Callithrix jacchus: one gene and its partners. The main gene of each other region encodes a partner of the protein of the gene in region 2 in a complex. Links are inferred from orthologs where the notes say so. Each region holds a gene or a part of one and is shown on either strand. Other genes may lie near its edges.

Evidence for each region.
Region 1: the proteins of EGLN1 (region 2) and HIF1A are in contact, whole or in part, in a crystal structure (PDB 3HQR), measured with the Homo sapiens proteins. The link is inferred for Callithrix jacchus from reciprocal best matches to the Homo sapiens genes EGLN1 and HIF1A. Residues at the interface, in NP_071334.1 of Homo sapiens: Gln239, Leu240, Val241, Ser242, Gln243, Lys244, Ile251, Arg252, Trp258, Lys262, Asp277, Ile280, Arg281, Ile292, Asn293, Gly294, Arg295, Thr296, Lys297, Tyr310, Val311, Arg312, His313, Val314, Asp315, Pro317, Asn318, Asp320, Arg322, Arg370; in NP_001521.1 of Homo sapiens: Leu559, Glu560, Met561, Leu562, Ala563, Pro564, Tyr565, Ile566, Pro567, Met568, Asp570, Asp571, Phe572, Gln573, Leu574.
Region 3: the proteins of EGLN1 (region 2) and EPAS1 are in contact, whole or in part, in a crystal structure (PDB 7Q5X), measured with the Homo sapiens proteins. The link is inferred for Callithrix jacchus from reciprocal best matches to the Homo sapiens genes EGLN1 and EPAS1. Residues at the interface, in NP_071334.1 of Homo sapiens: Gln239, Leu240, Val241, Ser242, Lys244, Ile251, Arg252, Trp258, Asp277, Ile280, Arg281, Ile292, Asn293, Gly294, Arg295, Thr296, Lys297, Tyr310, Val311, Arg312, His313, Val314, Asp315, Pro317, Asn318, Asp320, Arg322, Arg370, Trp389, Tyr390; in NP_001421.2 of Homo sapiens: Asp525, Leu526, Glu527, Thr528, Leu529, Ala530, Pro531, Tyr532, Ile533, Pro534, Met535, Asp536, Gly537, Glu538, Asp539, Phe540, Gln541, Leu542.

The regions. Positions count from the first base shown.
Region 1 is NC_133509.1:96,403,967-96,411,561, forward strand, and holds the start of HIF1A (hypoxia-inducible factor 1-alpha), read left to right. Parts: upstream 1-2,967; 5' UTR 2,968-3,264; coding exon 3,265-3,299; intron 3,300-7,595.
Region 2 is NC_133520.1:53,461,959-53,469,380, forward strand, and holds the start of EGLN1 (egl nine homolog 1), read left to right. Parts: upstream 1-2,639; 5' UTR 2,640-3,050; coding exon 3,051-3,941; intron 3,942-7,422. UniProt on the Homo sapiens protein: Cellular oxygen sensor that catalyzes, under normoxic conditions, the post-translational formation of 4-hydroxyproline in hypoxia-inducible factor (HIF) alpha proteins.
Region 3 is NC_133515.1:68,437,141-68,444,605, reverse strand, and holds the start of EPAS1 (endothelial PAS domain-containing protein 1), read left to right. Parts: upstream 1-2,837; 5' UTR 2,838-3,161; coding exon 3,162-3,220; intron 3,221-7,465.

The DNA.
Region 1 (7,595 bases), on a different chromosome or scaffold from region 2:
TTGTAATTATATGAAAATTAGTTGACTGAATATCACCACTTTCCATGATATTTATATTTGTATATACACATATATACATATGTGTATACTACTTTCCTCTCCATGTTCATATTTACATTTGTGTATATACATATATACATAAAAATATATTTTATACATTTTTGAAAAGGAAAATTAAGTTTAGATCAAATTTAATGAATATTCAAAAATAACTTGCCGGGCGCGGTGGCTCATGCCTGTAATCCCAGCACTTTGGGAGGCCAAGGCAGGTGGTTCACAAGGTCAAGAGAGTCAGACCATCCTGGTCAACATGGTGAAACATGTCTCTACAAAAAATACAAAAAAAAAATTAGCTGGGCATGGTGGCGAGGGTCTGTAATCCCAGCTACTCAGGAGGCTGAGGCAGGAGAATTGCCTGAACCCAGGAGGCCGTGATTGCGGTGAGCCAAGATGGCGCCATTGCACTCCAGCCTGGATAACAAGTGCGAAACTCCATCTCAAAAAAAAAAAATAATAACTTTTGTTGATCAAATTATTTTTCTGCTTGAAACTTTTGAAATGATCCAAAAAATTTTTAAATGACTTAGGTTTGCTATTACAAAATGCTTGTCTTTTGATGTCACAAACATATACTATAATTACTGGCCAGAGAGAATTGCTCTAAGTGTAATGAAAAGAGAAATGATTGATGAGCAGCTATGCTTATAAGTGAGGGTGAGAACACCATGGGCAGTTCCAAAGCTGAAAACAGAAAATATATGTGGATTTATATTAACATAATTGGTATTCCTGGATAGTTAAAAATGGCTAAACTGTAGCAGAAGCCCAAGTAATTACTGTTAACAGAGGCATAAATTTGCGGGCAATAATAATAATAGACCAGGCATGGTGGCTCATGCCTGTAATCCCTGTACTTTGGGAAGCCAAGGCAAGCAGATCACCTGAGATAAGGAGTTCAAGGCCAGCCAGGCCAACATGATGAAACCTTGTCTCTACTAAAAATATAAAAATTATCTGGGTGTGGTGGTGGGCACCTGTCATCCCAGCTCCTTTGGAGGCTGAGGCCAGAGAATCACTTGAACCTGGGAGCAGAGTTGCAGTGAGCTGAGATTGCACCACTGCACTCCAGCCTGGGGGACAGAGCAAGACTCCATCTCAAAATAATAATAATAATAATGCCACCAACAATACTAACATTTACTGAGTGCTTACTATGCACCAGATATTGTTCTAAGTGTATACATATTATCTCATCTAACCATCCATAATACTGTGGTACAGACACTTTTATATCCATTTTACAAATAAGTAAACTGAGGTATAGAGATATTAAATGACTTGCCAGTAAGTTTCAAAGCCTGTGTATAAGCTCACTCTTGATTCTGGAGACAGTGATTCTTAACATAGTATCTTCAGAATGTTAAACTAAAAGATTTGTAATTTACAGAATTAGTTTTTCCACAATTAAAAAAGAAATTATGAGTAATTATTTTGAGTTCTCTTCAGGCATTTCCCTTAGTTCTTTTCAAGATCTAATACATATCATTTAGTGTTGTAGATCTGATAAACAAAAGTAGCACAAAGATCAAAGTTTTTTTAGAGATGGAGTCTCGTTAGGTTGCCTAAGCTGGAAACTCCCTAGGCTGGCACTACCAGGCTCAAGGAATCCTCCAGCCTCACCCCGCTCAGTAGCTGGAAACATCTTGTCAGCTAGGTCAACATTTAATTATAACTTTATAGGTCTACTGACCAGTTAAAAAGAGGTGCTGTATACATTAGTTGTTGTCAGAGTTTGATGTCTTTATATAGGCCATTGTTTTTACATGCTAATACAATTGAAAGCCAATACGGATATCTCTGTTTACATCCCAAAGCTAGGTTTTAACAAGAAACTCATAAGGCAAAGGTGAGAAGTAAAATAATTTAGTATCAAGTGGAGATATATTTGCAACGTTCCTTGGTTGAGCTCAAAATATATTCTTTTTTTCTTTTAAAAGACTGACAGGCTTGAAGCTTATGCCTCCAAAGACAAAAGTGATTATTTAGTAGCTTGCAAAGTTGCCAAAGGCCATTTTTTTCTACTGAATTTGGTTTATACTCTTATTAAGGTCATTTATACCTATTTGTAACTGCTTAACATAGTTTCAGATTTTAAGATTTCCCTGCAACTTCATTTCCCCTGAGGTTTACAGCAAGAGAAGTTAGTTTTTATTTTTAATTAAACTCCACCACAGAAAAACTTAGTGGACAAGGAGAGTTCCCCTGTGTTCCATGGCAGAGTGCGGTGGGTGACACTGACCCGTGGTTAGGTAACCTGACAAGGAAAGACCCGTTGTAACACATCTGAACAATGAGACCAATGGAAGGGCTTGCTGCCACGAGGCGAAGTCTGCTTTTTTGAACTAGGAACTCAATCAGAGTTGGGCGGCAATCCTGCCCAGCACTGCGGCGGAAGAGAAAGAGAGCCGGAGCCTTACATTACTGCACCAAGAGTATGAAAATATGATGCAGGTTTGGGACCCGGCAACTGAAATCCCTTCTCAGCAGCGCCTCCCAAAGCTGGCCACCGCCTTCCTTAGGAGAAAGCCCAGAGTCCCCAGACCCGGGCTGAGCCGCGCCCCCAGCTCTTTTCTCTTTCCTCCGCAGCTAAACACAGACGAGCACGTGAGCGGGGCAGCGCGTCCCAGCTGTGCCTCAGCTGACCGCCTCCTGATTGGCTGAGAGCGACGTGGGCTGGGGTGGGGACTGGCCGCCTGCGTCGCTCGCCATTGGCTTTCGGGGAACCCGCCTCCACCTCAGGTGAGGCGGGCCTGCGGGAGCAAGCGCCGGCCCGAGCAGGCGGCGGGCGCGCTCCCGCCCGCTCTCCCCTCTCCGTGCGCCGGAGCGCGCTTCCGCCTCCTCTCCCCTCCCCGCGCGCCGGAGCGCGCCTCCGCCCTTGCCCGCCCCCTGCCGCTGCTTCAGCTTCTCAGTGCACAGAGCTGCCTCGTCTGAGGGGACGCGAGGATCACCCTCGTCGTCGCTTCGGCCACTGCGTCGGGCTGGGCCCTGACAAGCCGCCCGAGGAAAGAGGCTCGGAGTCTGGCCCGGACCCCGGCGATTGCCGCCCACTTCTCTTCCTTCTGGTCTCACGAGCGGTTTCCCGCCTCGCACCTCCACCTCTGGACTTGCCTTTCCTTCTCTCTCCGCGTGTGGAGGGAGCCAGCGCTTAGGCCGGAGAGAGCCGGGGGGCTGCCCGCCGTGAAGGCACGCGGGGACCGATTCACCATGGAGGGCGCCAGCGGCGCGAACGACAAGAAAAAGTAAGCCTATTCCCTCGGCCGGCCGCCTTCGCCGGCGCCCCTGCCCGCCGGCCCGCCCTGGGCTCCCGGGCCAGCGTCGGCGTTCCTGGGGGTGGGGGGGGGCAGCCTTTTTTGTTTCTGCCGCTTCTCCTCTCCCCTCTCTTTCCCCCAACCTCGCCGGCCAGGCTCCCCCGCTGTCCACGTCGCCATCTTGTCGTGGGGGGTGGGAGACGCCTCTAAAGTGCTTTCAGGGGCCGGGGTCTGAGCCCTGCTCGCCCTCCCCGCCGGCCGTGGGGGCCTCGCGCCGCCCACCTACCCGCCTCAAAAACCCAGCCTGCTCTGTGGCCCCATCCGGAGGGGACTTTACCCAGCCCGAAAACCCCGAGAAGAGAAATGAGCTGCAGCTCGGTCGTCGCGGTTTGCACCCGGAGCTTCCGCTCCTTCCCGCCCCCATCCCCTCCGGTTCCATTGAAAACTCGGCCCTGGGGCGGACCCTGCACGCTGGTCCTGTCTTCCCTGTGGGCTCCCGGCCCTGAGTTCCGGACCGACGGACTCGCGTGGTCGGATGCGATCTTGTCCTGTGGTTGTCCAGCCGTCGCGGGTGTCTTTGCCTTTGTGCATTAAGGGATTTGCCGCGATGGCTTTAAGATGCGAACTTTTTAGTTTGCACGTGCAGGTTTTGTTTTAATCGCCTTGAAAAACTTGCCTAGACCGAGAGTCAGAGTAACGGGAATTTAGGGAAATAGCAACATTTTAAAGAGAACTTCAGAATTGAATACTTGTGTTCATATCACCTGTCACGGCAACGCAGATATTATAAATGAATATATGCCTCATTAATTCTTGAAATAGTGAAAATGTAGGGGCTGATTAAATGTAGGCAGTTTTAGTGATATTGAAGAAAAAGCGTATGATGAGTTAATGAAATACGGCACTAAAATGATGCAAAAATTTTGGAATTGTCTCATTTTTCTGAAATCGAAGTATATTAAAGGAAAACCTTTAACATATATCCAAAGTAAATAATCACTCGGTTAGAACTGAATCCGAGTTTTATAAATCACCTTGAAGTTGTAGTCTAAGGGGTACATTAGATATTAAAAATTGTGATTTGTACCAGTGGTGTTAAGAGCTAACTTCCCCATCCCTCAACACACACACACAATTTTGTCCACTTTGGTATTTAAACTTTTAAGGAAATTATTTTAAGGAATTGAAGATTTAGAGTAAGAGTTTTGGTTAGTAGACTGGCTTTGCTGGCAAATCCTTCCACTCTCTGGGAGAGAGATTAATTTCCCTAATCAGTATCAGCAGAAGATAAACTTGTTTATATTCTTGTTGTTTTGTAGATCCCTTCTCCTGGTCCCTCTTCAGTAGAATGTTAAATTTTCAGTTTGTGTACACCAGAGAAGGCACTAATAAAATTCAAAAAGTGAGCGAACAGGTCTAGATTAATTCCAACAGTTACCAGGAATTAATTGCAGTTTATTTTGCGGAGGTGATTACAGTGCTTTTGATGAAATGATGAGCTGCTATATTGTAAACCTAAGGCAGATTGCCTCTCTATAGTGCCAATTTTCTGTCCTTATTATATATTGAACCATACTTAATACAATGCATTAAATTATGCACCAATCACTTCCTTTTTATATACAGTATCGAACTCATTTCTTTGCCATTCATCAGTTCAGAATGTCAGAAGCAGCTTTGAAATAAGTGAATAAATAAATTAGCTACTGTTCCTCAGCCCCAATTCTAAATGAGTTTCTTAGATTTTCCTCAGCCCATGTGTTACTTTCAAAATGTTCTCACTTAAAAAGTTAGAACCTTGGATAGAATGGACTCACATTTCTTAATATAGAAGATCTTGATATAACCGAGAAATTAAGTTAAACACTTAATAAATGGTGGTTACTCAACACTTTTAGATGCTGTTTATAACAGATGACCTTTTCTAACTAATTTACAGTTTTTTGAAAGATAACGGAGATTGGGGGATGGGGATTTTCTTCATGCAGTTTTTTTTTTTTTTTTTTTTTTTTTTCGTTTGAAATGAGCTCCCAGTGTTGGAGTTTGGGAAACAAATTTGTCTTTTTAAGAGAAGGTCTAGAAAACTCAAAACCTGGAGAACTGGAAGAAATCAGAATAGAAAATGGGTATAGTTATAATATTAGAGATTTAACATAGGACATTTCATGTGGGTTCCTTGTTATAGGGGCTGGACTTTAATAGAACGTGTATTTTGATTTTTAGATTTGTAAAGGAATGTCAAGAAAGTAATGATTCTGTTTCAGGCTTCAGGCCAGACCACTTCAAAGTTTTGCGAAACAAGTAGTTACTGAATCATTAAAGTAAAATTTCTGACAATAGATATTCCTTAATTTCCTTCTTTAATTTTGGACGTTAAAAGTCAAGAGGCTCTCTCGTTTATTAGCAAACTTTTCTCCTTAGAATTCTACTTTGATTTTCCTTTTGTTTGAGGAAGCAGCATATAATGATTAAGAGCATAGGATCTGGAGTCAGATACCTCGAGTTAAGGGTCCCAGCCCTTCACTGGTGAGCTTGAGCAAGTTACTGAATGCCTCTGAGCTGTTTTCCTCCTTTTGAAATGATAAGAATAGCAGCCATCTGAGCAGTTATTGTAAAGATTAAATGAGATAATGCATATAAAGCAGTTAGTTGCCTGGAATAGGAGTCTTGGTGACATTGTGTACTTGAAAATAGATGTTGCTTGTTAAAATTGTGATTTAAACTTCCACAACTCTTAGAACTCTTTTTGCTAGGCCTTCCAGCTATTAACTTTAGTTTCTTTTCTGCATCTTCATGCATCTTTCCTATCTTCTGAAAGTGAAAAGACTAACATTGGATCCAGAGTTTTAAAGGACTTTTTCCCTGCTAAAATGGGCAAAAGAGTACATCCAGCCGGGCGCAGTGGCTCATGCCTGTAATCCCAGAACTTTGGGAGGCCGAGGCCGGTGGATCACGAGGTCAAAATATCGAGACCATCCTGGTCAACATGGTGAAACCCCGTCTCTACTAAAAATACAAAAAATTAGCTGGGCATGGTGGTGCGTGCCTGTGATCCCAGCTACTCAGGAGGCTGAGGCAGGAGAATTGCCTGAACCCAGGAGGCGGAGGTTGCGGTGAGCCGAGATTGCGCCATTGCACTCCAGCCTGGGTATCAAGAGCGAAACTCCATCTCAAAAAAAAAAAAAAAAAAAAAAGTACATCCTGGGGTTATGTTGGCATCTAGCATCAGCTATTTTTCTTGAGCATCTGATCTACTCTGTATTCTAGGCCTCCTCCTTCAGAATTCCTCACCCCTGCGTTTTCTCCCCAAATAGAATACTTTGAATTTACTCTGGAAGCTAGAGTCAAACATACACAATATTCTAGTCTTACTGTTAATTTAAGCAAGATATGTGCAGGACACTGCACTTAAAACATTTTTTGGCTTGATGCCAAAGTTTAGACTATTTTATAAAAATTAACCTTTGTAAGATAATGAGTTGATAAAATATTCTCAGTAAAGCCCCTATATGGTAGAAAAACTGTCCTTTGAGTTTCTCCAGAGTTCAGACCATTGGGTTCCATCTGAAGGCAAGGCCTCAAGGTTGTCTTACTGGTCTGAGTTTTGTGGTTCAATTTGTAGGAAGTCTATATTAGTGCACTCTTTCATACATGTGTATTTACTGAGCTATCAAGTTATTTTAGACCTAGAAAGTATTGGAGTTCATTCCTATGGTCCACTGCAGAACACCTTGTTTAGTTTGGAGAATGTCAGCCTTTCTACCTGTTAACTTCCATTGTCTTTCCTTTTAACGCGTTGTCTTTCCTTTTAACGCATTGTCTTTCCTTGTCTTTCCTTTTAACGCGTTGTCTTTCCTTGTCTTTCCTTTTAACGGGTTGTCAATGGCTCTAATGGTGTCTGGGCTCAGGGTTTAGTTTGTGGCTACATTCTATTGTTGTATGTCAAGAGTGGTGTATAGAAAGCTGAGGGGATTTAATTAGTCTTTGGACTGATTGTATTTTTTCCTGAAGAACTCAAAACAGTTTATGATCTTTGGTGGTGAAATTAAAAATTTTTGTGCATAGATGTTAAAGATTGGGTTAAATAACTGCGTGTTCATAGATGCCTTCTCTCAAAAATTTTTTAAAATTTAGATACTTGCAATACAGTATCCCTTTATCTAAGATTAATGTAAGTCCATTTCTTAACCAGGAGAAAATAATCTAAATTTAAATGTGTTGTTGGATGAGTTTCCAATCAAGAAATTCATTTTTTAAACTTTGTGACTAGTTATCCAGTGGGTGGAT
Region 2 (7,422 bases):
AGCATCGCGTATGTTTATAAAATAAATTCCTCTGTGCTGCCTTCTGGTAACATTTAAATAAGTAAATAAATAAATTAAATATATTCTTCCATGACATTCTGAAGTCTGTCTATAAGAGCTGAGTAAGTGGCCACTGGTACAATGCTACCGGAGTTCCAGAATCTGGTTGGCGACAAGATTGTTCACCAGCAAATGGTGTGGTGAAACCTCACTAATTTGGAATTCGTTCAGATTATTAAGCCTGAATAGGTGGAAATCCTGAAATCAAGGATCTTTGGAACTATTTGAAATCAGTATTTTATATTTGTCCATTCTATTTTTAAAATATTGCAAGTGTTATACTTGATGGGTTAAGTATATTTAGGATATACATGTTTAATTTGTGATTTTGTATACTTAATTGGAACAAGAAAGCTTATAAAGGTTTTGATATAGACATCTATTCTTTTAAGTAAAATTCAGTTAAAATACATGAGAAGAGCATATAGAGATGTAAATAATTTTTGGACACACCATAGATTGAAATAGTGAATTTTAAAGAAATTGTTGTAAGAATCAAGTTTCATGGAATGAGTGTTCCTAGTAAAGTTCTTGCTCTTGTGAATAATTAATAATCACTTATAATTACTGTAGTAAAAGAAGGCCCAAGAGGTATTAGACTCTACTTTTATCTGTTATACTTTACATAATTTTTGTGTATGAAAAATGTTTTAAAAGTTTTTCGTAAGCCATGAGATAGCTGCTTTACATTTTAAGAATTTCTGAATTAATTTGCTTAGATTTTATTAGTGCAAACAGCAGAGCTAGATTCTTTCTAGATTCTAACATGAAATGTGTTTCTAAACTGCTGAATCAAAACATAGGTTCAACTCTCTGAGTTGAACACACACATAGCAAAGCAGTTTCACAGATAGCTTGCTTCTGGGTTTTAAAGCCAATTCCTTTTTCTGTGTTACCATTCCATCCTATTCATCCCTCTTTTAGGAAACTCCGAACTCTGGATTGTCCTTCTTTACATATCTGCCTCCTGCATTGGACTATGTGTCTCTGAGTGTAGTATGACTAATTCATTTGTTTGTCAAGGATAGTGTAGCACATGGTACACTCCCAATTCATCTGTTGAACAGCCTAATCAGTAATGTCTGCAACAATGACATTTTACTGTATTTAATAAAGCTCTGGGAAAGTAGGATACACATAAGACAGATCCAGGTCTTAATTCTTTACAGAAATGTGGATTTTTAGTTCGGTTTGGAATTTGAAGATGTGAGTATATTTACCTCAGTTTCCCAAATGACAAGCTGATTGAATTATTATCCTCTTCCACCTGACTGGATCCCCAGAATGCCATTTACGTATGTAGCAGACTTTTATAACAGTTTTAAATTATGTATATTTGATGAAGAGGTTTTATATTTTTGGATTCAAGCTTTATTTTTTTTAAATTCTACAATGTGGTTTATAGTAATTCCATACATCCTGCTTTTGAAATACATATTGCAGCTTCTTTAAGCTTGGAAGGCTATATCTCAAGGACTGAAGTTACAGTATATTCAAGTGATACACAAGCCTAGCACCGAATTTTCCACAGTAAGTGTTCGATAAAGACTGTTAAACTCTAAGTCACAGGCCTTTTTATTCTTAAGACAAATAACAGCAGAAACATCCTTGGCTTATTTATGGAAAGGTTTTTATGCTCTATAAAACAAAGAATTGTATCCATCAGCGTAGCACAGATTCTATTAAAAATAAATGTGAGAGTCGTTAATGTAGTAGTACTGCTCACTTACTACCAAAATTAACTTTTCAGGGATAATTCCATCAGTTTAAATTGGATATTGGAATAAGCACTCATTTGACTTGGTAGCCCAATCATGGGGGTTCGAACTCGGCGGGATTTCAAAGGTTTTAAAAATGTTTTTGATTTTAACCCTCAAATTTCATAACCTTTAAATTAGGTTGAAACGGGGCACAAGAGATTGGATTAACATCACAGTAATACTTATTTTTGTTCTTAACCATTTCACGGCTTCTTGAAATAGAGGCTGGATGGAGCAATGGAAAAAACAGCCTTGGAATCTGAGCGCCTGATTGCTGGATTCAGTCCCAGTCAGTTCTGCGTGACCTTGGGCAAGTTACTTTACTTCTCTGAATTTCCGTTTCCTCCTCTACAAAATGAGGATCACAGTAGCCACCTTGTAACCCTAACCCGAGCGCGCCTCGCACAACTCGCGCCCGCCTGCAGGAAGAGCAGCCATGATTACGCCGCCGCCGCCGCCGCTCCGCCACCCGCTCGCGGCCGGCGCCCTCCCCTAGCAGGTGTAGGCGCTGCCCGCGCGGCCCCACGCCTTTCCGCCGCTCGCGGGCCGGCCCCTCTGCGTCCCCGCGCAGGCCGCTGCGGGCTGAGGCAGCTCACCGGCCTCTGCGTCCCGGCCCCGCCCCGGGTGGACGGAGGGCGGGCGACCCGGCTCTGAGGCCGAGGTCCGGCCCCGCCAAGTGCGGAGGAGCGCAGGCGGCCCAGGCGCCGCGCCAGCGCCCAAGTGTGAGCGCGGCCCCCGCCCCTCGGCCCTCCCCCCGGCCCTCCCTCCGCCCCCTCCGCCCTCGCGCGCCGCCCGCCCGGGTCGCCGCGGGGCCGTGGTGTACGTGCAGAGCGCGCAGAGCGAGTGGCGCCCGCATGCCCTGCGCTCCTCCACAGCCTGGGCCGGGCCGCCCGGGACGCTGAGGCGGCGACGGCGGCCGAGGGGGCCGGTCTTACGCTCCCCAGGCCCGCGCGCCCGAGCCCAGGTTGCCGTTCGCCGCACAGGCCACGTTTTCTCAGCCCACGGCGGCGATGAGGCGCTAAGGCGGCCACCGGCTCTGCGCCGGAGCCTAGGACTCGGAAGCGGCCGGGCCGAGGGCGCGGGGTGCCGGCCTCCCTGAGGCGAGGGTAGCGGGTGCATGGCGCAGTAACGGCCCCGATTTCTCTCCCCGCTCCCCAGCCTCGGGCGAGGCCGTCCGGCCGCCACCCCTCCTGCTCGGGCGCAGCCGCCGCCGTTGCCGCCGCCGCCGCCATGGCCAATGACAGCGGCGGACCCGGCGGGCCGAGCCCGAGCGAGCGAGACCGGCAGTACTGCGAGCTATGCGGGAAGATGGAGAACCTGCTGCGCTGCAGCCGCTGCCGCAGCTCCTTCTACTGCTGCAAGGAGCACCAGCGTCAGGACTGGAAGAAGCACAAGCTCGTGTGCCAGGGCAGCGAGGGCGCCCTCGGCCACGGAGTGGGCCCGCACCAGCACTCCGGCCCCGCGCCGCCGGCTGCAGCGCCGCCGCCCAGGTCCGGGGCCCGGGAGGCCAGGAAGGCAGCGGCGCGCCGGGACAGCGCCTCCGGGGACGCGGCCAAGGCAAAGGCAAAGGCCAAGCCCGCGGCCGACCCCGCGGCGGCCGCGTCCCCGTCTCGCGCGGCCCCCGGCGGCCAGGCCTCGGCGGTGGCAGCGGAGGCCGAGCCCGGGAAGGAGGAGCAGCCGGCCCGCTCGTCGCTGTTCCAGGAGAAGGCGAACCTGTACCCCCCGAGCAACACGCCCGGGGATGCGCTGAGCCACAGCGGCGGCCTGCGGCCCAACGGGCAGACGAAGCCCCTGCCGGCGCTGAAACTGGCGCTCGAGTACATCGTGCCCTGCATGAACAAGCACGGCATCTGTGTGGTGGACGACTTCCTCGGCAAGGAGACCGGACAGCAGATCGGCGACGAGGTGCGCGCCCTGCACGACACCGGGAAGTTCACGGACGGGCAGCTAGTCAGCCAGAAGAGTGATTCGTCCAAGGACATCCGAGGCGATAAGATCACCTGGATCGAGGGCAAGGAGCCCGGCTGCGAAACCATTGGGCTGCTCATGAGCAGCATGGACGACCTGATCCGCCACTGTAACGGGAAGCTGGGCAGCTACAAAATCAATGGCCGGACGAAAGTAAGTGTGGGCTGCGGGTTTGCGCTGGACATGCCCTTCTCGGCGGGCAGCCCCTCTCGTGACGGTAACTGCCTAGGCTGAGGAGCAGCCTTCCTCTGTATAGAAAGGACTTTGTGTATAGCACCCCGTAAGGAAGACGGACAGAATTCGGGGTAACTGTTTGATCTGGTTAGCCGCTTTGTGTCCGCTGTTTTCCACTTACTGCCAGTCCACAGACTTCTCCGGCTAATTGCATAGTTTTCTGGCTAAACGTAGGCGCTTTAACTTTGCTACTTTCTTCTTTTCTTCCATTCCACTGTTAGTCACAATTCATTCCTTAGTGGCGTTTTAGCCACCCAGTGAGGGGGTGTTAGAGTACCACCCAAAGCAAGTCCTGATGCTGCATCTGTCTTGTGTTTGCATAAGCACTTAAATTTCCTGTGCTGTCTGAATCACTCGTCACATTTTGATTGAGAGTCAAACGCTGTGTTCAGTTAAGAATTTGCCGGCTGACCACAAAAAGGTAAATTTAAGCGTTTAGTCGAAAGACTCTCCATATTCAGGAAGAGCGTGGCTACTCCCCTCCCCCTCTTATAGCTCCTACCCTCTCCCTGTTCCTACTGTTTTGAAACCCATTACAAAAAGGGAAAAGAAGTATTTCCGTTTTCGGATCTCTCTGTGTAGGTAGGCTACATTTTTAGCATTGGTTTCCTTTATTTGCTTTGTTAATGTTATCCTTCTGTTGAAAAAGAACTGTTTTGTAGCTTCCTGGAAAAAACAACACGAAATTGGAGCAGGAGGACTTGTTTTATCCTCCCAATTTGGTGAGATCTTTTTGTTTTCTCTTTACTGTTGCGTTTTTTTCTCCACAGATTTCTTCACTTCCTACCTAGTCTATTTTCTCTTTTTCTCCCTCACGGTGCACTCTTTCTTCCTTAATACTCTCTTGCAGGTCTTATTCATTTTGCTTCTCAGATCTTGATCTTTTCTTTATATCCAGCTACTCCCAGGCCTCCCTCCTCCACCATCAGTCTCTGTCTGATTTTGTGAGTTTTGAGAGATGGACTTGGGAGAGCATCACACTTACATGTTTGTACACACATGCTGACTCTTCCCAGTGGTTTTTTTGGAGTGTGTGTGAGACCATCTGTTTTGACAGTCATTACATGTGATTCTCAGGCTGCTCGGAAGGCTGAACATAGGCAATGAGAAAAATTATAAACATGAAAATTTTGTGGGGAAAAATACAATGTGGAGTCTCATTTACGTATTGCCACTTCATTGCTGGGTGAAGGCACACATCTTAATTTCATGTAGTCTTACGAACAGTTGAATCATATTAAACTGGAAGGAAAAGGGGGATCTGATGAAATCTCAGCCTTGGTCTTTTACTAGCTTTTCATTGATACTTTTAAAAATGAACGTTGTCATGGAACACATCTGAACATAAGTCCTGAGCTCAGAGCAGGAAAGAAATTAGTTTGAGGGAACAGGGCTGTGAAGACTGACCAAAGTATATAGTTGGGACATAAGTTTAAATTGGATTCTTGAAGATGATGTCCCAAATCTTTCTTGATCTGCTTTCCTTAGTTAATTTAGCTTTCCAAGTCCTTTCACCTGTCATTCTTAGATAAGGGACAGCAGACAGCCTGGCTCTGAGAGCAGTTGCTTCTGGTAGGGATGCTATTAGAAAATAGCTACTGCCTTCCTCAAGAGTTCTAGTATTTGGGGTTTTAAGTCACCTAACTGTACCTAGTAACAGGTAATAAGGGACTGGATGAAGAAGGGATGGCCTTTAAACTCTTTGGATTTGATCTTATGCTTATATTAATTTTAGAGACACAACTTCAGGATCTATAAATGATATTCAGGAATTCCTTTAATTGTACTTCTTGGCTGAAAGAGGTTTTGGTAATTGTGTTTGAACATGTAAGTATTCCTGAAAAAACAAGGTTGTTTGCTTGGTGGAAATGAGAAGGCAATCAAAATACCACCCACTGTATATTGAGCAACCGCAGTGTGTTAGGCATCAGATTAGGGTCAATGCAGGTACAATCAGAGTAATTTTTTTTTTTTTTTTTTGAAGCAGGGGCTTCCTTTGTTGCCCAGGCTGGAGTACAAGGCTATAAGCATGGCCCACTGCAGCTTCCACTTCCTGGGCTCCAGCGATCCTACCACCTCAGCTTCGAAGTAGCTGGGACTGTAGGCACAGCTTGACTGTGCTGTGCTAGACCAAATGAAAAACATTTTTTTTGTAGGGTCAGGGTCTTGCTGATCATTTGATCTTGAACTCCTGGGCTCAGGTGATCCTCCTGCCTGGACCTCCCAAAGTGCTGTAGTTACAGACTTGAGCCACCTCTTGTGGCCACAATAATCTTTATGCAGTGGGTAGTGTTATTCGTAATTTACATTTGAGTGATTTTCAGCTCAGACTTGGCAGAGGTCTACCACTTATAGTAACCTAGCAGGTGTTCAGGCTTAAGTCATTCAGCTATCGAACTTAAGCTTTTTTTTTTTTTTTTTAACTACACTAGTTATAGGTAGAACATTAAATGAGATGTAGCTTACACACTGTTGGAACTGCAATTTGATATATATTTTTTGTTGAAAGGGGGTGAATAGTACTAGCTTTATATGTGAATAATCATACTCTATGGTTGGGCTCTAAAACTTTTTATTAGGTGACTGTGCAATGTTTATTTCAGATAGTGGCTGAAAAATCCACTTTTGTATATATCCACTTGAATTATGCACCTGTTGGTATAAGTGTTAAGAGATGTCAGAATATGGTTTTTGTATGTGATTGCAGAGGGAGACTTCAGTTTAGAATTTTATTATTCTTCGTAACATGATAGTGATTTTAAAAGTTCTGTGCAGCAGATGTGTAGTATTTTTCTCATGTCAGCTTTCAAAGCAGTAGGTAGGTGGTTGTATCTCTTTTTATAGATTAGAAAAGTGGGACTCAGGAAAGTTAGTTCACACGTTGGAAATTCTGCAGCATATTAGGCCTTAAATTCAGATTTTCTGACTAAGAATCTGATGTTCTTTTTTATTTACATCTATATTGCATGTTCTTTATGTCAGGGCCTGGAAATCAGATGATACATGATTGGCTGTGGCCCATTCAGTGTAGGCTTTGTTTTCCCCTGAATTTCTACTTCAGACATCCTTATCTGGCCACTGTTTATGCAACTACTTTAAAAAAAGGAACCACAGGGGAAAAATGAAGTAATACAGGAGAAAAACAAATGTAATTGTAGTCACTGATGTAACCAAGCTCCTGTTTCCACTTTCTCTGGTCTTTTTGGGATTTTCCCCTTTTTGCCCTTACCCTGCCCTTTGATCCTGTGTCTTGCTCATGCTTGTTTTCATTAAGAAGACTCAGTGATACCCAGTAGAAAGAAACCATGGTCTGCTGGTTTGTGATGAGCAGTGTGCCTTGACTTGGGGGGTATAGGATGAAGAGAAATTCAGAGGACTGAGGATCATGGGAAAGTGTTGA
Region 3 (7,465 bases), on a different chromosome or scaffold from region 2:
GCCATGAATAAGACAACAGCCTCGGCCATTATCTGGTCATCTGAATTTAGCTACCTGTCCTTTTGTTTAAAGCCCTTTTGTGTGCTTGGCACCTCCTGGATACTCAGCAAGTTCTGTTTAATGAATGTGTTCTCCCCACCCAGACTCTCACTGCCTTGCTACCTTTTCTTAGCCTGTCTCCCAACCACTGGCACCTGTGCCCATTCCCATAGTGTGTCTTTGTCATTCCTCTGCCATCCTGATTTCCTCCCCATGTCCTGCTCTTCCTTCAAAGCCTGCCTCCAGCAGAGTTCTCCCTATCTTCTCCAGGCTCGTGGGCTTTCTCCTCCCAAACTCCTACAGCACTGACTGTTCAGCCCACTCTTCAGGACCTGCCTCTTCACTTGTCTGCAAGCACCCTGAGGTCAGGGACAGTTGTTCTACATTTCATTCTACTGCTCACAGCCCCAGCAGAGGAAGAGGGAATCACTAATATAGGTTGAATTAGTGGAAGGAATAAGCCATTTCTGGGGGAAAAAGTACAATTCTGTTTCCCAAATTGCTCAATGTTATCATTTGAGATCATGATATAAATTTGGAGAAGACTTTTAGCATTTCCTGTGGCTTTTGATGACTTCTTTACAAAGGAATGGAAATGTGCACAGACATCTCACTTCTCATCAGAGCAAGAGGGGGCAGAATTGGGAGAAAGCAAGTGCTTGCACTGTGGCATGAATCAGATCCCACAATGCTGGACATGTGAACAGGCCTCAGATCAAGGTTCTTTATAAAGGAAGCCCCAGAGAGATTCTCTACCAGCTCATTCCTCTTTTCCTTTTCCTTTTTCTTTTTTTAACAGAGAGGGGAGAAGGGGTTATGGGATGGGGGTAGGAAGTGAGGGATCCCGTGCTTTCTCCCGCTTCTCTTGCTGTTTTGAAATACTTCAAATTCCGGGAACCAGAAGTTCTGCAACATGTTGGGATTAGTAAGGCAGAGTCTAGGATATTTCACTATTACCATGTGATCAAGCATCAGTCTTGATTAAAAGTCTAAACAAGTGTTGTTTTCTTTGAAATTAAAGTATCTGAAATAAGGAAGAGAGAACTGACCCTTAAAATCATATTCTGTACTTGAAAAGAGTTCTCTCTGACAACTGCCTGTCCGGGTTATGCACGTCACCACTCCCTTCACCTCCCCCACCCCCCTGCCTTTTTCCATCCAGAATGTTTGACGACATTGCCAGGGGAATTTCTGCCCCCTCCTTCCTGTATATACCCAGTGCTGGCCTCTGAGGCAGCCCAGCTCTGTTTTCTCATGACACAGTGATTATTTTTGGCATTGCAGATATTTTCTCTAATGCTATTACCCACCCCGCTTCTTGGTTGCCTTGTGTGGAGCAATCGTTTGGGTAACTCCCGGTAAATCTGAGGGTTAATTTTAGTTTGGTGTGGTAGAGGAGGCAGTGGGAGAGAGGAGGACAACTTCTACTCCGGAGCACCCCACCCCCACCTTAGAAGAACCAGAGAGGTCCTCTCACGCCCTGCTCATGAAAGAGCTTGCTTTCACCAGCTCTGTGCTCACCATTCATCCTTTCTGCTGGCGGGCTTGAGGATATGGATATCCAGAGGTGACGCTGGGGGCTGCACCTCGGGGATGGCATCTTAATGACTTGACTTGGCGGGTGTTAGAACAGCACCATTCAGAGTGAGTTCACTCCCTGCGCAGTTGGCTCGCTCAGCCTCTGTCCATAGAGTTCTCTTGTTCACGCTGCAGGAGGAAATGGAGATTTCCAAGTGGGAAGGAGCCTTCCCAATGTTTTAACTCTTCACTGAAGGGAAGAGGAGCTGTAGAGAGCGAAATAAAATCTGAGCCGCCCCAGCTGCAGCACCCAGGAGAGGAGCGAGGCTGGGCTGGGGATGGAGGCCAAGGCAGCTGGGATCACTTTTTCTTTCCTTCTGGAGAGGGAAAGGAAAAGAGTAAAGGGCATTTTTTGATTGTCTTTTACAATCTGTTAGCAAATGTTTGCCTAGTTTGTCTGCTCTGGCCCAGGTTCTAGTGAAGGGTACACCAAAGTAAAGGATGTTGTGTCTGTGCCCTTCCCCAGGTACTTATAGTCCAGTTTGCATAGAAAAGCCAGCAAGACAGGGAGACCTTTAATAAGAGCCTGTGAGTAATGTGGGCAGGAAGTGCTCTGGAGAATGCTGCTGAGGGGCCAGGGACACTGCTGGAGGAAGTAGGGCTTGAGCTGGTCTGAGGGGTGGGTTTTGAAGACATAGGAAGGGATAAAATGATACAGGTAGGGAAGACACGAAGGAGGAGAGGGACATCAATGTAGGGCTTAGTAAAATCCCATAAAGAAAGATACAAAGAGAATAGGATTCTTCCTGGCAAGAGAGAAGATCAGACTTGTTGGACTTTATGTACTTCAGATTAGGATGGCAGCGGGCAGCACTAACCCCCCCCCCCGCCTTTTTTTTTTGAGATGGGGTCTTGCTCTGTCGCCCAGCTGGAGTACAGTGGCATGATCTCAACTCACCGCAACCTCTGCTTCCTGGTTCAAGTGAGTCTCCTGGCTCAGCCTCCTGATTAGCTGGGATTACAGGCGCGTGCCACCATGCCCAGCTAATTTTTGTATTTTTAGTAGAGATGGGGTTTCACCACATTAGTCAGGCTGGTCTCGAACTCTGACCTCATGATCTGCCCGCTTTGGCCTCCCAAAGTGCTCCCAGTTGGCATCTTCAGTCTCAAGATTCCTCGTGTCTCTGCGTCTCTTTCTACTCAAAATGTGAGGTCACAGACCAGTAGAATCAGCATCATCTGGGAGGTTGTTAGAAAGGCAGAATGCCAGGCTCCAGCCCAGACCCTCCTAAACCTGCCCTGTAACAAGATCCCTGGGTGATTCCTGGCCACAGCAAAGTTTGGGAGGTGCTGCTCTGGGTGACTCCACAGGCAGTTAGCAGCAGCATTCGTTCAGACCCCAGATTTGATTGACAGAGGTGACAAACACCGACATACACACACACACACACACACACACTTTGAGTGTCCACAGGGTGACTCTTCCCAGATGGAAACCTTTTCTTCTAATCAAGAGCTGGGTTAGAATTCTTAGGAAAGATCTAGAACAGTGAGCAGCTTTGAGGAATCCACAGAACTGAAGTCATTGAAGTGGTTTCTATCTGATGTCTCCAGTTTGTACCACTTTGTACTACGGATGCTTTAGAGGACCCCAAAAGAACAGGTATGGGGTTCTTTCCCTGGGAAGTATGTAGTCTAGTTAGGGAGACAGAAGCCACAGAGGTGAAATCAAGGGAGAGCAACACAGGGCTGAATCGTGTGTGTGTAATCTCTGAAGTGGGACTTGGAGAAGTCAGCACAGGTGAGGCCTTCCTGGGGGAAACGGATGCTCGCTCTTGAAATATGAGCATAGTACAGACAGACCTAGGAGATGGAGAGAGTGTATTCTGGGCAGGGAGTGGGAGGGGCAGCAGCAGGAGCTAAGTCCCCTCTAGAGGCTGAAGGGGAGGGAAGGTACTCCCCACTTTCCCCAGGGAGTTCGCTTCATGCTGAGGAACTCATTTTACATCTCGGGCCCTTTCTTCTTGATTCTACTGCTGGCAATTTGTCAGTTTTCTTAGCTGAAGGCAGTATTGTAGGAACAGGATGGCAGCACAGGCAGAACAGTTTGAGCCAAACCACAGATTGTGCTGCTGGAAGCTTGTGACATCCAAAGGAAGAAGGCTGCTGATGGGTAGAAGCCCTAAGGAAAAAATCTCAATCAGATCTGGTAACAGCCTGAGTGTGGGGAAATACCTCTAAGCCCAGAGAGGTGGCACCAAAGAAAACAGTCTACTGAGAAGGAAACAATCTATGGCAGCTGTAGACTCCACAAGCAAAGTAAAAGTACAAACCGTTTTTTTTTTTTTAAAGACTTCTCCAAGCTAAGAACTATCCCAAGGGGGCTGGCCTGCCCACTGAGGGGCTGACCTCAGGCAAGAGGGTGGCCAGCATGTCTCACTTTGCTGCTTCTCACACCAAGTGTATGTTTCAAAAAGCTCATCAGATTTCGCATCCTACAAGGCTTGGCCCTCAATATGGACAGCTCAGCTAACTTTTTGAACCTGTAATAGGGATTTGCTTATTGGCCTTGTAGGGAAGTCACCCAATTACAATCAAGAATATGGGATTTAGGGTCACATGATCCAGGTTTGAGTGCTGGCTTCATCATTGGGTGATGGCTGGGCATGCCACTAACATCCCGGAGGTCTGTCTCCTCATGTGTAAAATTGGAGTGATATACCTGCCCCACAAGATTGATTCAGGATTAAACAGAGGCAGTTCTCTACCGGAAAGAGTCACATGTTGTTGTTTCTGGGTTGTATAGTCAGTAGCTCAGCTTGCTGAGGTTAATTAGTCCCTTAGCTGAAATCTGCGTGGTGTCAGGGGTCCGGCAGTGGCAGAGCTCAGAGGCTGCAGAGAGCAGTGGAGAGGGAGGCAAATGCCCCCTGCACCCACTGGCTTTCTCCCCACTTTTTCATAAGCGAAGATGGTACAGAGTCTTCTCTATACATCCCTGTGGTGGGAAAGATGGAAAGAACACTTTATTTTTACACTGGGGGAAGATCAACAAGGGTGGCCCTTTTTCCAGAACTAGATTAGAGTCAAAGGAAGCCTCCAGTTTTAGCACAGCTGGTCTTCTCTCTTCAGATGCTTTGACCTGCAGACAGCATGAGGAAGAGAAGCAGTCTAGATAGAGCTCGCGATGGGGAAAGGGGGCTGAGCCTGGGTCCAAGGCCGAGGCCATTGCGCATTCTGCCTTCCTTTCCCGTGATACTGCCCTCTGAAGTAGTGCGGCCCGTGCTCTGAGCTCCGTAATGCTGGCTGTGGTCCTGAGGATGCCAATGTTGCCAAATTTGCTGACTCAGCTTTCATGGGGTGAGGGTGGGGTCACTGTGAGGTGGCTATGGGGAGCTGGCAACAAGCTGGATACTTATCTTTTATTATAAAAATACGCAATACCTGATGCCAAGGTAGTCATCATAGTGTTATTTATAACAGCTAAAAATTAGAAACCATAACTGAAAAGCAATAAGGGAATAGCAAAATGCATTGTGGTCCAGCCACATGATATGATACTGTGGGCTACTATGAATATTTCGAAAGAATTCTTAATAATGGGACATCCTGTTAAGTAAAAAGAGCAAAGTAAAAATTTATAAATCCAATGAGATCTCACTTCATTTTCTTCATATCTTTTTGTATTTTCCAAGTTGCTTATACTAAATATGCATTACCCTTATCTTCACCGAGGCAGTTTTAAAAAGGAAATTATGTGTTGGGAAAAGCTAGGTTATATGATGGACAGATAATGAAGGTCTGCTTGTAATTGTGCCGCGTGTCCAGTGCTGCTTGGCAGCAGGCTGTCTGTTCACAGGGCCTTGAAAAAGCCAGAACTCGGGGGTTTTGTTCCAGTTCCACATACTCCCATTACCTTTCTAAACCTGTGTTTCCTTATCCCTAAATGGGAATGATGGTAGCTGCTCTTCCTGTCCTACTGTGTGAAATTTGTAAGTTTAGTTACAGATTTCCAGATTGACTCACAAAGTGTTTTACAGATTATAATGTGTGATCCAAATGTAAAGTGGTACTATTCACTAATATGTAGAATAAAGAATGCCCCACTGTCTTAGCCCATTTGGGCTGCTACAAGGTACCATAAACTGAGTAGCTCATAAACAACAGTTTCATTTCTCATGGTTCTGGATGCCTATCAGATTCAGTGTCTGGTAAGCGCCCATTTTCTGGTTCATAGATGGTGCCTTCTTGCTATGTCTCCACATGGTGGAAGGGGTGAGGGGATTCTGCTAGGCCTCTTTTACAACTGCACTAATCCCATTCACGAGGGCTTCACTGTCATGACTTAATCACCTCCCAACAGTTCCATTTTCAAATATCATTACATTGGGAGTAAGAATTTCAACATAAGTATTTTGAGAGGACACAAATATGCAGACTGTAGCACCCACTAAGGCTTGGGCTTGATGACGCTAAGCACAGGGACAGTTCATTATGATTACTCCTGTGTATGCACAGCTTTTCCCAGCTGGGCTGGGAAGTCCACGTGTCCTCCGGTTACGTAAAGAGCTGGGTTATCTGAAGCCCCAGATGCGCTGCTTAGTAATTGAATCTGCTGCTCTCTTCTACAAGGCTGCCTGGGGCTGAGAGGGCCAGAGGATAAGCATCTCCAAACAGCCCAGACAGAATTGACCATTAGAGGGCCACGTTGGGTGTGCCCCAGACATTACTGTCAGCTCCAACGGCAATCCAGGCCCTCTGCTCTGGGGACACAGACCATCAGAGTAGGTCAGAGCTGGAGGCTCAGCCCCAGCGGAGGGGAGGTTGGGAGGCTGAGGTATGAGATGCTTTCCAGGATCCTCCTTCAGGAAAGTGGCAAGTGAAAGCATTCACCCCTGTTTTAGCCACTGCAGCTTCATGTCTTCCCTCTTCTTTGTCCTGTCTTGTAGATTTTTGATATACTAGTCTGGATTATTAGTCTTATCTCCCAGATGAGCTGTGGTCTCTTTCAGGATAGAGACCATGCTCCTCAGGAGAGGTATGTGTATTAAAGCATATGAATGTCTTTTTTCCCTTGTCAAAGTCTGTCTGATCTGGCCAGCTTCTTCTGAATTTGCTAATTTCATGTTTTCTGTTCTGAATTTGTAACTTTTTGTTGTTTTGCTTTGAGATGGGTTCTCACTCTGTCACCTGGGCTGGAGTGCAGTGGGGCATGGCTCACTGTGGCTGTGAGCTCCCATGTCAAGGGATCCTCCTGCCTCAGTCTCTTGAGTACCTGGGACCACAGGTATATGCCACAATGCCCAGCTAATTTCTAATTTTTTTTTTTTAGAGATGGGTTCTTGCTATGCTGCCCAGGCTCGTCTCAAATTCCTGGGATCGAGCAATCCTCCTGCCTCAGCGTCCCAAAGTGCTGGGATTATAGGCATGAGTCACTGTGCTTGGCCTATTTTCTGTCTTCACCGTCTAACACTGATACCTTTCCTCCCCTATGTGATAGATTCCCCTACTGATCACTGCAGCCTTTGGACATCAGAATGTATCCAGAACGCTGGCCACTGGAACACTGCCTTCATCTCAAACATTTTTGTCACTCCTTTGGAATGGCCCTCAGAGCTAAGGCCATTCTTTTCAATGCCTTCAATTATGGCAAAGCCTTACCTTTTGAGGGTACTTTTTATCCTATCACCCAACCACAATCCATCCACAGCTAAGTCTGGTGACTAACGGGGTGGGTAATATTGTTTGGGGTTTGAAATGAAGTGTGTCCTTTGAAGAAAAAATCGGATTTTCTTATGTGGCTCTGAAGTTAATTCTAAAAAGACTTCCCAAAAGACAGAGCAATGGCCACCTACCAGCATTCAGTTATAGGCTTCTCCCAAGGTGGCTTCTTTGAAGGGTAGCCACCTTC